2 linked regions of the Pelodiscus sinensis genome follow. The protein of the gene in region 2 binds, or shares a complex with, the protein of the main gene of each other region. Links are inferred from orthologs where the notes say so. Each region holds a gene or a part of one and is shown on either strand. Other genes may lie near its edges.

What was found.
Region 1: POLD2 (region 2) and REV3L share a complex: the UniProt entries of both Homo sapiens proteins name them as parts of the tetrameric Pol-zeta complex. The link is inferred for Pelodiscus sinensis from reciprocal best matches to the Homo sapiens genes POLD2 and REV3L.

The regions. Positions count from the first base shown.
Region 1 is NC_134713.1:79,618,559-79,626,005, forward strand, and holds the start of REV3L (DNA polymerase zeta catalytic subunit), read right to left. Parts: upstream 3,004-7,447; 5' UTR 2,707-3,003; coding exon 2,568-2,706; intron 1-2,567. UniProt on the Homo sapiens protein: Catalytic subunit of the DNA polymerase zeta complex, an error-prone polymerase specialized in translesion DNA synthesis (TLS). Lacks an intrinsic 3'-5' exonuclease activity and thus has no proofreading function.
Region 2 is NC_134738.1:4,461,615-4,469,175, forward strand, and holds the start of POLD2 (DNA polymerase delta subunit 2), read right to left. Parts: upstream 3,006-7,561; 5' UTR 2,847-3,005; intron 2,289-2,846; 5' UTR 2,245-2,288; coding exon 2,025-2,244; intron 1-2,024. UniProt on the Homo sapiens protein: Accessory component of both the DNA polymerase delta complex and the DNA polymerase zeta complex.

The DNA.
Region 1 (7,447 bases), on a different chromosome or scaffold from region 2:
TGAATAATGAAACAATTACTCATAGGATTACATAATTATTTTCTCAAATACTATTCCCTCTATCAAATGTCATTTGAAAACTATTGAAATTTATGGTATTTAACAGATTTTATGATGGCAAAAAATAAGCAGCACTGAATGTATGCAAAAAGCATATTACAACCGAAGAGGTGTTGCTATATTATATCAGCTGTTTTGCGCATTAACCTATCTACTGAGGATGTAAAGGTTTAATTGGTTACTGAGTAAGCACAGCTTTACCAGCATGCTTACTGGGGTAAAGAATTAACAAGAGGCCAGGCCCAGCCAAAGCAGCCCCTGCCTGCAGGATACCATGGGGGCAGGGGGGAGATACGGCTTCAGCCCAGCCTGGCCAGAGAAGCCCCTGCCAGGCCCACCACACTGTAGGCAGTTAACCAATTAAACCTATAGTTTAACTAGTTAGTATGGATTTAAATCCTGTATAATATGCTATCTACTTGATAGTTTTGAGTTTTAGATGAAGCAGATGCAAACTGGTGCAATTACCTTACCATCCTCTGAACCTGAAGATGATTCAGAAAAGAGAACACTGGAGTTTCAAATATGAATAAAAATGTCTATATTATACGGTTGCATCTACACTGGCATGATTTTGCACAAATACTTTTAACGGAAAAGTTTTTCCCGTTAAAAGTATTTGCGCAAGAGAGTGTCTATACTGGCATGTGCCTTTGCGCAAAAGATTTGCTTTTGCACAAACACATCTGTGCCAGTATAGAAACTCTCTTGTGGAAGAAAGCTCCGATGGCCATTTTAGCCATCGGGCTTTCTTGCGTAAGAAATTGGTGTTACCTGTCTACACTGGCCTCTTGCGCAAGAACACTTGCGCAAGAGGACTTATCCCTGAGCGGGAGCGTCAGAGTATTTGCGCAAGAAGCACTGATTTCATACAGTAAAAGATCAGTGTTCTTGCGCAAATACTCGCGGCCAGTGTAGACAGGCGGCAAGATTTTGCGCAAAATCTTGCCAATGTAGACACAGCCTACTAGTAGTAGGAGACGCCTAATAAATACACTTTTACTGCAGTTTCTCCCCTCCCTAATGATAAAAGTGTACATTAAAAACTCTGCCTATAGCACACAAATCTGTAAAACGCATAAATGCATTAATTTCCAAGATCAGCATCATACAACACAAACATCTATTTCAATATTCTCTAAAATAGGGGTTCTGAAACTCCATTCCACTGCAATCCCATTCTGACAACAAAAATTATTATATAACCCCAGGAGGGGAGATGGAAAACTGAATCCAGCTGCCTTGGAGGGGGAAGGCAAAGGCAAAGCCCAAGCCCCACTGTTTTGGGTGGGGAGCTAAAGCTGAAGGTGGAGACCTTCTGCCCCAGGCGAGGACCTATAACCTGAGCCCTTTTGCCTAAGGCTGAGGCCCTTCGACTTTGGCACCAGTCCTGGGATTCAGGCTTCAACTTTGACCCCATGCACCAGCAAGTCTAAACTAACCCCAGCAACCCCATTAAAATGGAGTCAATACCCACCTTTGGGGTCCCAACCCACAGTTAGAGAACAGATACTCTAATGTTTGTAACAACTGATGGACAGGAGACCCTTTTTCATCATGACTGTGGACTGAAAACTTGCAATAAAGAGAACCCATATTTAAAAAAAATATATGGGTAAGGAGAATGTTATTTGCAGGATGTACTTGGGAATTGTCAGGCTATTAAATACAGTGATGATAAGTATAGCTGAATACCAAAAAAGAATGAATGTGATGTAGCATTAGGAAGTCGCAGAGGCCAACATGTGGCTAGTTGTTACGCCGTTCCCTTCTGCAGTGCAGCACAATTGCCTATTGGTCTGAGCAATTTACAATATACTAGCGTAACAGCGACATAAAAAGAGCCACTTCACAAGTGTTGCAGAAGTCTCACGTATGGGACTCTGTATTAGGGAGCACTTTAAAGATACAGCATTGATAAATTAATTCACTATTCACCTCCTCAAAGATACGCATGATTTTTCTTCTCCTATCCATTCACACACCAAAACTGCGTCTCTTTCTTTAAAGACACAAACCCCAGCACCGCACGGCGGCCTGGGCTACGTACAAATCTCTATCCGGAGCAGAGCAGACCCCACTGTGTTTTTACAGCTGTGCTTAGTTGTGATTCACGCACCGCGAGCCTGTGTGGGAGCAGCTTCCCCTGTGAGCGGCGCGAACGCAACGATTTCCAGCTCCCCCTGGGCACCAGCCTCCCTGCTCATCCTCGCACCTGCAGACCCCGAGATCCTGCTCTTAGCGCCCCCCGCCCCCGCTCCGGGAGCCTGGAGGGAGCCGCATAGGCGCCGCGGGCTACGGTGACCCTGCGGTCCCCGCCGGCTCCAGACAGGTATCACCCGGCGCAGCTCCCGCGAGGTCCGGGCGGGGGTGGGGGGAGGGGCGAGGCCGGCGACGGCGGCAGGTGAGGCGCACGCCGCGGCTGAATCACAAAGCGAGCCCTGTGGCGGGCTGGTCCCCGGGCCTAGCGCCCGCGGGGCCCCGCAGAGGCGGCGAGCGTCCCTTACCTGCCGGGGTGGCGCCGAAGACTCTCACCACAGGCACCTTCTTGGCCGGGGCCTCTCTGAAGCGGGACTGGCCGGGGTCCAGGCCGGGCAGCGGGCTGCCCATATAGTAGTCGGCGGTCACGAGCCTCACTGAGAACATGTTCGCCGCCGTCCACAGCGACCCACGCACTGAGCGAGCGCGGAGCCCACACGGCTCCCCCGCCGCCGCCACCGCCGCGCGCGCAGCCCCCTCCCCGCCGGCCCGCGCGCACACGGACACACGCGCGCACGGAGCAGCCCAAGCTGGCTCTAGAGCCTGGCCGGCCGCGAGCGCCTCATGGGCACAGCAGCCCCTTCCCTCGGCAGCGCGGATGCCTTGGCGGCGGCGGCTCCTCAGCTCCAGCTGTTGTTGCCATGATGATGATGTCACGGACGCAACCACCGGGGGGGGGGAGATGGGGGCGGGCGGGGGGAATGCGTTTCTCCCCTTCTGCGCTTCAGTACAGGGTGGTATTTTTTCCGCTCCCTGGGCAGTGGAATGGAAGCCGTGCGGGATCACTTTCTCGACAATCGATCCTAGCGCCTAGGCGAGGCTTCGGAGCGCCGAGTCATGGATCGGGCTGGGGACTCCCGGGCTAGGATTGGGTTAGGTTGGGGCGGGCCGCCATTTTGGAGTCTGAGGCGTCTGGCTGCGGGAAGGTGAGTAGCCGCCCGCTGCTGGGGGAAGGGGAAGTCTCGTGCCGCTGTCACGCACGAGACTGGGGAGGGGGAGCGGGAGTTCTCAGGTAACGTTTCAGCCGTCGCGTGCGCCCCCTTTGGCTGTAACGGTCGCTGCGCGCGGCCCGCAGGCGACGGAATGGGGGAGGGGGGCGAGCACAATTCTCTGCCTATAAAAGGGCGGCGGCGGCGGAACGTGCCGCTGGCGGCAGGGAGGGGCTGTGGTGCGGCTGCTGCACGCTGCAGAGGAGCGACAGGGGCTGGGCTTCGGCGCCGCCCTTGCCGGCTGCAGCATTCCCCGCCCCACTGCCCGCTTCGTGCGCGCCGCCGCCTTTACAGCAGCCCGCTGCAGCCGGGAGAGCGGCGCTCAGGCACCGCGCGATGCGGGGGGACGCTTGGGGGTGGGCTCCCTTTGCCCCGCGCCCCCCTCCCTGGTCCAACAGGGGCCTCTCCTAGGGCGGCGACCAGTCCCAGGGAGCCGTCTTCCTCGGCGGGAGAGAGCAGGAAAGGGGGGCTGCTAACCCGCGGGGGGGGGGCACCACAGTCGTGAGATTGGCTTAAAAATCACGAGTCTGTTTTCCTTAATGAAGTTAAGGCTCCTGTATCTGCTTTCTGGTTCCTGAGCTAGACATGGGAAGGGTGTTAAAGAGCTGGGGGGTTTTAACGTAAATCTCAGCCACAGCCAAATACCACATGAGTAGACAGCCCTCCAGATCAGTGTGCTCTGTAAGCTGTGCACTTGTGTGGCCACTCAGATTTAGATGCTGCCCAGTTGATTGGCAGAGCTAGGTGTTTTGTTTCTACTGGTGATGCACATAAGAAATTATTCCAGATAGGAAAAATCAGAAGGAACACCGGGAAGATCCTTGTGTAAAAAGGGTGTGTTTCATAGACATATTTTTGTCTCGTATATGCTTCGACTGAAAGATAAAGGAATTCTATGAAATCAGATGTAAATACAGTATCTAAACTAAGTGGGCAGTAACTTTTGAAATAGGGGACATTTGGGGATTTCTGAAGTGGTCACAGGCTGCCCTGGAAGGGGTGGTGCCAGGGTACTTCACCAGCCTGATTGACCTGGGGTTGAAGGAGCATGTGAAGTCTTAGCCCCTCCGCCCCACCGCCAGGGGCATACAGTGCTTAGAGAACCACCAGCTTGTTCAGCGCCATGTGCCACTGGCGGGTGAGGAGACTTCACACACTCCACTGTCCCTAGTAGGGATGTAAGTTAAAGTGACTAGTCGTCTACACATCATCTTTCTGTCCCCCCTTCCCCCCCACACACACACACTTGCTGCCTCTATCAAAGAGAGGCAGCAAGGTGGGGGGAGTAGGAGCCAGTGCACTGTCTCCGTGGGGGGCAAAGATGTTCCTACTGCTGCACCTCTCCCTTTGAAATGTTCCGGAGCCCTGGCCATTCTGGTACATTTCAAAGGGAGAGGCTTAGCTGGATAGCCAGCACCCTCCTTTCTGATTAATCTTCCATCAACTACTTGATTAAAAAAAATTTAACATCCCTAGTTTCAGGAGTTGCTAGCCCTTTAAATATAGAGATATAAAATTTCGATTATTTGGCTAGTTGAATAGTCAATGCAATTTGCATTGACTATTCAGCTAGTCAATAAGGATACTTCCGCCTTTGAAGTGTAGCAACAGCCAGCCCCAGGGCTGTTGCTACACTTCAAAGGCAAAAGTGCTGCAGGGAGCATGGGGCCAGCAGGGGACTCCCAACAGTCCCCCACTGGCCCCATGCTCCCCACAGCATTTCAAAGTGGCAGCATCACATGGAGCCCGGGGTCAGCTAGGAACTCCCCCCTCACCCGAGGCTTCATACAGTGCTGCCAATTTGAAGCACCCCCTCTTTTTTCACCCCCCTTGCTGCCTCTCTGATAAAGGCAGCAAGGGGGGAGGAAGCAAGTAGTCGACTAGCCTGTTGACTATTCGATAAGCATTTGCAAATTCTTATTAAAATGATTAGGGGTTTGGAACGGGTCCCATATGAGGAGAGGTTAAAGTGACTGAGACTTTTCAGTTTAGAAAAGAGGAGACTGAGGAGGGATATGATAGAGGTCTATAAAATCATGAGTGGTGTGGAGAGGGCCGATAAAGAAAAGTTATTTATTAGTTCCTTAAATAGAAGAACTAGAGGACACCAAATGAAATTAATGGGTAGCAGGTTTAAAACTAATAAAAGAAAGTTCTTCACACAGTGTGTAGTCAACCTGTGGAACTCCTTGCCAGAGGAGGCTATGAAGGCTAGGACTACAATAAAAAAGTTATAAAGAGAAGCTAGATAATTTCATGGAGGTTAGGTCCATAAAAGGCTATTAGCCAGGAGATAAAATGGTGTCCTTGGCCTCTGTTTGTCAGAGGCTGGAGAGAGATGGCAGGAGACAAATCGCTTGATTATTGTCTTTGGTCCACCCTCACCCGGTGCTGGCCACTGTTGGCAGACAGGATACTGGGCTAGAAGGACCTTTGGTCTGACCCAGTACGGCTGTTCTTATGTTCTTATTGGATAGTCGACTGGCCAGTCTAGACACAGCCATGCTGTCCACTGCCACTGAATATGTGTATGTTTTGGTTTTAGATTTAAACTTAAGAGCAGGCTTTTCCCTCCCTCAAGCTGGCACATCTTGGATGGATTTTTTCAGGCTGCTTCTATATTCGTTGTCTCAAGGAGATGGATCACTTGATTACCTAGGAGGTGGGAAATCTTTCTTTTCTTGGGCAGGGCATGGGCAGGGCGGGGGAAGAGTTGAACCAGTTTCCAGCTCTTAAGTTTTTTTTTTTTTTAACCACTAGGTTAATGGTTCCTGCTGCCATTGCCTCTTCTCCCCACTGGCCAATTTTGTGTGGAATTAAGCATGCTTTTAGAACATCCCCTGATCAGACCTTGCAAGCAAAATGGGCATTGCCCAGTCTTAAGATGGCTCCCTGTTCACATTCTCCTGTGGATCTCTCTCTCACACCCACCCACACACACACACCTCCTTCCTTCCTCTCCCCGCCCCCCCCCCCAATGCTGCTGCCTCTGTATTAGAGGCAGCAGCATGGAAGGGCAGATGGTAGCAGGTATATGCAGGGAGCCAGCTTCAGAGACTTCTGAGAGACGCAGCAACAATGTGCCTGACCAGTGTTGTACCAGCGAATTTGTTGAACCACGGGAGGTCAGTATTGTCTAGCAGCATTATCAACACTTCCACTTCTTACTGGGCTCTTACAAGCCATTTAGGGATAAATTAGAGCTAAATAATAGCACAGAACACTGAGAGCCAGGTCTTGTGGCTGTAAACAAACTTTATGGGACTGTGGGAAAGTTGGCCATGCCCATGATAAATGGTCATCCAGACCACAGAGGGTAATGAACTAGAGATGTTCAAAGCACATAATATTCATAAAAATATCACCCAAAATGGGGGGGAAAGAACAACTACTATTAAAATGTGGGTGTGTAACAATTTCTCCTTTTATTTAAAAGCTGATTTGGAATGAGGGAACCTGATATAGTAAACTAGAGGGAAACAAATTATTATACATTAATGCATATATTTTAAGCCTTGTATAGCATGTATGCATACATTATAGCCAACAGAATAATGACACCAATGTGTAGGGACTGAGTGAGTTAAAATGAGTCCTTGATGAAAAAACTTTGAGTAAGTTAAAGTGATTAAGTGCATGTTATATAGTTGAGACAGGCATCACTGGTGGTAGATGATAGAAGAAAATCTTCAGAATATTAGGCAAGCAAAAAAGACAAGTCAGTAATAATTACATAGCTTTTATCATCTATATTAACAAGTATCAGAGGGAGGCCATATTAAGTCTGTATCTGCAGAATCAATGAGGAGTTCTATGGCATCTTAAACATTGAGGCTGTGTCTACACTGGCGCGATCTTGCGCAAAAGTGGCCGCTCTTATGCAAAAACTTGCTACCTGTCTACACTGTACGCGTGTTCTTGCTCAAGTAAACTGACGTTCTAATGTATGAAATCAGGGCTTCTTGCGCCAGAACTCTGATGCTCCCACTCAGGAATAAGCCCTTTTGCGCAACTGTTCTTGCGCAAGAGGCCAGTGTAGACAGGCAACATGAATTTCTTGCGCAAGAAAACTCTATGGTTAAAATGGCCATCAGAGCTTTCTTGCGCAAGAGAGCATCTACACTGGCATGGATGCTCTT
Region 2 (7,561 bases):
ATAACATTGGGGCTTTCCAGCTTAGAAAAGAGGAGACTAAGGGGGGGGAGATATGATAGAGGGCTGTAAAATCATGATTGTTGCGGAAAAAGCAAAGAAGGAAAAGTTATTTACTTGTTCCCACAACACAAGAACTAGGGGTCACCCAAAGAAATGAATAGGTAGCAGGTTTAAAAGGAGGTATTTCTTCGCGCAGCACAGTCAATCTGCGGGACTCCTTGCCAGAGGATTTTATGAAGACCAGGACTTTAACAGGATTTTTTAAATAAAGAGCTAAATTCATGGAGGACAGATTCACCAATGGCTGTTAGCCAGGCTGGGCAGGGAGGGTGACCCTGGCCTCGGTTTATCAGAAGCTGGGAATGGGTGACAGGAGAGGGCTCACTTAGCGATTCCCTGTTCTGTCCCCTCCCTGTGGAGCCCCTGGCATTGGCCACTGTCAGAAGACAGGACGCTGGGCGAGATGGATCACTGATATGACCTGGTGAGGCCGCTCTTGGCTGCGTCTAGATTGGCATGATTTTCCGGAAATGCTTTTAACTGAAAAGTTTTCCATTAAAAGCATTTTCAGAACAGAGCGTCTAGATTGGCACAGACGCTTTTCCACAAAAGCACTTTTTGCGGAAAAGCGTCCGTGGCCAATCTAGACGCGCTTTTCCGCAAAAAAGCCCCAATCGCCATTTTCGCGACCGGGGCTTTTTTGCGCAAAACAAATCTGAGCTGTCTACACTGGCCCCTTTGCGCAAAGCTTTGCACAAAAGGGACTTTTGCCTGATCGGGAGCAGAATAGTATTTCCGCAAGCACTGATTTCTTACATGAGATCGTCAATGCTTTTGCGGAAATTCAAGCGGCCAGTGTAGACAGCTGGCAAGTTTTTCCGGAAAAGTGGCTGATTTTCCGGAAAAACTGGCCAGTCTAGACACAGCCTTTATGTTTTTATGCATGTTATGAGACTCTTTAAAAACCAATTAGTCTTGGCTGTATTCTGGTCCTTTGGTTTGGTCCTTCCATTTCTCATGTTCTCCTAGCTATGACAGAGTCACCCTTGGGCCAGAACCTTCCGAAAAGGAGCCAGGTATTTATCTTTAGCCAGTGAGTTCTGGCATCTGCAGCTCTTGCCTCAAATCACGCAATAAGGAAGGTACCTGCCAGTTACACTATTGCACAACGTTTCATGGCCACGCTCCACAGCAGTTACACGTTCAGAAGGAAACCAATTCAGGTACAGTAATTCCATCAATAAACAGCAATTCAGAGACCAAGAGCAAGATGACTCCTTCAACCCGCAGTCCTCAACCCTATGTAGCCTCTCGCTCACACGTCTCATTCTCTGCTGGAGACAAACTCAGCGACATTCCTTCCTGGCCACGGAGTGCCCATCTCAGACTCTTAATGCTACCTGAATGAAACTTTTGTTTCCGAAACACATGCCTCCTTTTCTCTGAGCCCAATGGAAGGTTTTCCAAGCCAGAGTCACTGCTTGGCAATGGTAGATGTTTTCCCACCCAGACATTGTAGACATGCTAACCCTTTGGAGCAAGTCCCTAACCTGACAGGAGCAGGGCTGGAATTCAGGGCAGACAAAGTGTTACCTAGGAACTAACAAAATGTCCTGAGGCTTCAGTTACTAGGAATATTGTTTTTTGTTTTGCTTAGAAACAGTTCTTTGTATCCTTCAAAAATCAAAGACACAGCACATGGCTTCTCAGCAGACACACCAGTTTCCCCCTGCAACCTGGCAAGTGAAATACAATACTGAGATTCACTCTCAGTTGGTTTCACTCATTGTCCAAAAGCAGGTTCCAGGGTAGGCAGTGAAGGGCATGGATCAGTGTGCACGCTCTGTGCAAACACTCCCCATCATACCTGGCCAAAGCCAGGGAAACTAGTGATCCAACCAGTGGTCCAGATTTGGAAAGGAGCCTGACCACATGCCGTCGGACGCACGTTGCGCATATGTTAAGAAGGGCAGGCAGATACTGGTCTGAGAATGTACTCCTCGCCTAGGAGGGAAGGAACTCACCCCATTTCTGCCGGGCTCTCTCCAGCAGGAGGGGTCTCATCTGAACGAGGCGAGTGGCGTAGATGTGGGCATACTGGCGATTAAAGCTGCGCTCCGCCAGCCGGAAGTGCTGGGAGCAGTTCGCGTAGGTGGACACGGGCACTCTGGCGAACGTGGAGGCCTCCGTGGACGGCGGCGCCAGCAGGCTCTGTGCAGTGGGAGCCGCCCGCTCCGAGAACATGGCTGGCGCCCGCGGGGCTCCCGGCAGGGCCAACAACTCTCCACCTGCCAAGAGGACACGGGCCTGTTACTATGGGCCCCCCCGCTAGCTGCCCCCCCACCTGCTCCATGGCTACTAGCGCCACACTGCCCCTTCCAGCGCCCCCCCCGGGGACACGTGCCCCTTCCAGCGCCCCCCCCTCCGGGGACACGTGCCCCTTCCAGCGCCCCCCCCCCGGGGACACGTGCCCCTTCCAGCGCCCCCCCCCGGGGACACGTGCCCCTTCCAGCGCCCCCCCCGGGGACACGTGCCCCTTCCAGCGCACCCCCCCCCGGGGACACGTGCCCCTTCCAGCGCCCCCCCCCCGGGGACACGTGCCCCTTCCAGCGCCCCCCCCCCCCCGGGGACACGTGCCCCTTCCAGCGCCCCCCCCCGGGGACACGTGTCCCTTCCAGCGCCCCCCCCCGGGGACACGTGCCCCTTCCAGCGCCCCCCCCCGGGACACGTGCCCCTTCCAGCGCCCCCCCCCGGGGACACGTGCCCCTTCCAGCGCCCACGATTCCCCACCCCCTGGGGGACACGTGACGCCCCGGCCGCCCCGAGTTTCTGGGGCGCTGACGAACCTGCCGGAGCCCCCCCAAGTCCCAGCCGGGGTCAGGGGTCAGCCGTAGGAGGTCAGAGGTCACAGTCGGCGCCCAGCAGCAGTTCCCGCCACAGAAAAGGCGCCAATGCCGTAAACCGGAAACAGAGAGGCCGAGCGGAACTGACGTAGGAGGGCGCTTGGCGTCTCCCGGGAAACCAGCAACGCCGCTAGGGGGCGGGGCTCCGGGCTGCGCAGGTGGGGCCATGGGGGGCGGTGCTGGGGGAACCGGGCTCCGCCCCCTGCCCCACACGGCTCCGCCCCCTAGCCCCGCCCCCTCCTCCCCTCCCGCTACTGCCCCCCAACCGGGACCTGCCCCCCCCCGTTCCTGGCCCCGCTACTGCCCCCCAACCGGGACCTGCCCCCCCCCGTTCCTGGCCCCGCTACTGCCCCCCAACCGGGACCTGCCCCCCCCCGTTCCTGGCCCCGCTACTGCCCCCCAACCGGGACCTGCCCCCCCCTGTTCCTGGCCCTGCTACTGCCCCCCAACCGGGACCTGCCCCCCCCTGTTCCTGGCCCCGCTACTGCCCCCCAACCGGGACCTTCCCCCCTCCCCGTTCCTGGCCCCGCTACTGCCCCCCAACCGGGACCTGCCCCCCCCCCCCCCGTTCCTGGCCCCGCTACTGCCCCCCAACCGGGACCTGCCCCCCCCCTGTTCCTGGCCCCGCTACTGCCCCCCAACCGGGACCTGCCCCCCCCCTGTTCCTGGCCCCGCTACTGCCCCCCAACCGGGACCTTCCCCCCCTCCCCGTTCCTAGCCCCGCTACAGCGCCGTGGGGCTGGGAGATTTCCTCGCACTGCTGAGGTGGGGGCGGGGTTGGGGGAGTGTGAATTTCCAGTGCTGACGTGTACAGAGCTCGCAGCTGCTCTCAGCCACTTCCTACCGAGAAGAAACACGAGTTTCCTGCCCACAGGGAGGAGCTGTCGGCAGGTGTGAAAAGCATCACTTGCTGCCCCCGCTCTGCTGTCTGGGGGGAAGCCTTCCTCCTGCAGACAGTACCCACCGAGCCATACGCCAGCTCGGGGTCTCACCCGCCAGGGGAAGGAAGACAAGTGTTAGTGCAAAGGAGACGTGTGAGCCAGGGCTGAGCGGGGACACACCCCGCGGATTCGAAGGCCCTAAGCCCCATCTGTAAAGGAGGGTCAAAGAGCTCTGGGTAGCCCATCTCCACTGCTGGGAGGTTCTGTGCTGGGCATTCCCCGGGGAGCTCCTGAGCTGCCCGGAGCAGCAGACGCTGTAGGCTGGTGCAGACTGAGTTTGAGAAGGGAGTTGGTGGATTGGAGCAGGGGCAGAGAAAAGCCATGTGTGATGGTGCATTGGGGTTCCCCCACCTCCTGCACCCCCGTAGTGGCATGAACAGACTCCACCAGCCAGTCGAATAGAGGGTGTTTATTGCTTCTCCAGAGTACAGCACAGCACAGATGTTATCTGGTTCCAGGCAGGCCTAGGATGCCTCAGCCCCCCTTGAGATGGGGGAGACTGGGCCCCTAAATCCCAGCCTCTTCCCTAGGCTGTCTCCTCCATGATCCCAGACAGCAACTACCTGACTCTCCTCCAGTCCTGCCCCCCAGCCAGGGGTGACCTCACCCTCCTTTCCCTTGTTCCGCTCCCTGGGAGGTAACTGGTCGGACAGGTTGGGAGCCCCTTGCATAATGACTCATCCCCTGCCCTGCTGGGCCGTGCTGCAGCCAGCAGCCAGTGGGGGTCACCCACAGCCCACCACCCAGCATAGCAACCAGCAAGGTACCCACACTATGTCACACTGTGAGCATGGCTCAAGGATTGGCCCTTGTCTACACCAGCCCTTGGTGGGTAAAAGTTTTGTCGGTCGGGGTGAGTTTTGCCAAACAAAGCGCCGGAGCGGGGAACGCTCTGTCTGGGGGAGACGATCTCCCACCTACGCAGTGACGGCTTGAATTATGCCCAGAGCGTCCAGAAGCACAGCACAGCACAGCCGTACTATGGTGAGGCCTGTAGATGCAGCCTTAGAAATCCTGCCTTAGAGCCAGAGGCTCAGGGAGCTCCATCTGTTTAGCTTATAATAATAATGGAGATTGTCTATCTCCTAGAGCTGGAAGGGACCTTGGAAGGTCATCAAGTCCAGTCCCCTGCCTTCACAGCAGGACCAAGTACCATCCCTGATACATTTTTGCCCTAAATGGTTAAACTCACAACTCTGGGTTTAGCAAGCCACTGCTCAAGCCACTGAGCTAGCCCTCCCCCCATGCAGTTATCAAAGGGTGGGGCAGGGCAGGAAGGGGCATGTGCCCCCAGTGCCGTGGGAGGGGAGAGGCAAGGGGCCAGTAGCTAGCGGGCAGAGCTGGACAGTTCGTCCAACAGTCCTAGGCCCCATGCGCAGGGAACTAGTGAGGGACCTGGCCCCAGAGCAGGGACTGGCCCCACCCCTACTCACCTGCGGTGGCAGAAAGCAGGGTGATGTGGCTGGGAGACAGCGGAGGGGGTTGGGCCCGGGTAGTGCAGGTTGGGGGGCGATTTCTGCTGCAGGCCCCTTGAAAGACTACTGGCTGCATCCCTCAAGGAAGGGGACTTGGGGGAAAGGTGTAGTGGGGACCAGGGGGCGCAGAGTAAGGGTGAGAAGAGGCAGGGACGGGGTGGAGGAGGGGCAGAGCAGGGACAGGGGCTTGGGTGAAGAGGTGGAGTAGGGGGCAGCGGCAGGAAGAGGCGGGACCCTCGCCTGGGCTAAGGGTGGCGTGGGGAGGAGTCGCATGGGTCAGTCACATGACCAGTGTCCCCCAAATCCCTCCCCAGCAGTCATCACTGGGTCAAGGGGTGACTTGATCTGTCAATACCTACACAGGGTACAAATACAAAACCCAGGCGCTTTGGCTTAGCGGGGGCGGGTCTGGCACCACCCAAGGGTGGGAAGTTTCACAAACGCATACGGGGAATGAGGTTAACATTTTGACCAAAGAGTCACAAACCATCAGGCCTTGGAACCGGTGTCCTGTCTCAGGCGGGAGGCTGCCTGCTGACTAGCTCCCTGCTGGGTCCCGTCTCCTGTCAAATGGCCAGGAACTCGGCAGCGCTGGCGTTCAAAGTCACATCCCGTTACTTGGATAGAAAGATGATGTCTGTCTGTATCATCCCGTTACCTGCGCCCCCGTGACAAAGCCATGGCCAGCCATGGGAGCCTTGTTTGCGCCTTCTCGGTAAGGCTTGCCCACACACGCTCCCCTGCACCTCTCTCACGTGGGGGTGGGGGGCAGCCGACCGGACCCGACCCTCCCTGCCCAGAGCTCTCTGCCCTCCATGCCTGGCTGGGCCCCGGGCCAGCCCCTCCCCGGTGCTGCGTCTGCTCAGCTCCACATGTGAGGGGCATGCAGGGTCACAGGCTCCTCCCCCCCCATATCTGTGGGGGTTTGCAGCAGGACGTGGCCAGCAGCAGCCTTTCAGCCCTGCGTAGGAGGGAAGGGACGGGAACAGTTTCCAGCCACAGAGGGTGGGGGTGGGAGGCAGAAATGACTTGGCCCATGTGTTTGCACAGATCACCCCTCCACCCCAACACCTGGCTCCTCTCTGTGGCTAGAAGCAGCTTGTCCTTTCCCATAGAAAGGCAGCTGAGCTGACACCTCCAGGCAGCTGCTGGCCGCTAACAAACCCCGGTTTGAGGGGCACAAACACCTCCTCCCGTAGCACCCTAAAGAGCAGCAGTTACCAGGGCGCGAACCGCTGGTGAGTGGGAAGGTGACAGAGAAGGTGCAAATTGCTCTTACGTGCCCATTGGCTGGTTTTAAGTCGTTAGGATGCGGAAGGTCCTGTGCTTCATGGAACATGAACACTCGAAATCGCTATTTCCCCCCACCCCCTATCTGGTTTGGAGCGGGACGTTTCAAGCTCCGTGCACCTGGAGAAGTGGGTCGTACCCACCCAGGCTCACGATCCCAGCTGTGGGTTTGGTGAGTCTGTAAGGTGCTGCCCGACCGTTCGTTGGTTTTGAAGTTTTTCCTTTAAAACCAGGCTCTCTGGTGCTGTGCAAAGCAGCTCAGCTGGGAGGGGTGTGGGAAGCTCCCTGCCTAGCTGGGTGTGAAGCCAGGTCTCGGTGGCCCGGCTGGCTAGTGAGGAAGGAGGCACGCTCCCCGCCACTCCTGCTGGGCTGGACGCAGCGCGTCTACCTGAGCCTGGCTCTGCCGCAGGGGCTGCTCTCTGGGCTCCTCCGGGACCTACAGGCAGCTCAGTGCCCAGTGCCTCGCGTACCAGCTGGTCAAGCAGCGCACTTGGGGCGTGAGCAAGAGAAACAACTTTGTTGACCCCAGAAATGGCAGCTGCTCCTTTCGGAGCACAGCAGAGGAGACGCCCCGCTCAGGGACAGGGCTGGCGACAGACTTCGCTGAGCCGGGGGCGAGCTGGAGAGGGGCTCGGGTCCAGGCCCCTAAGAAGGGGCAGGGTTGAGGGGCTAGCCTCCCCCACCCAGCCCCCAGCACGCTGCATGGAGTTCCTGGGGCAATTTAAAGGCCCTTTTAAATTGCTGGGCCCTGGGGCAGCTGTTCCCCTTTGGCCTCCCCCGTTGGCATCCCAGAGTGGGGGTTCTGGAAGCCAGCCCCATTATCCCCCTGTCAGTGTCCCCCAGGCTGGGGCGGGAGCAGGCCCGTGTCTCTGGGAAGGGGGCCCTGGACGGGGAAAAAGCAGCTGAGGCTGGGGCCACAGGTGGGGGTGAGCATGAACCCAGCATGAAACCT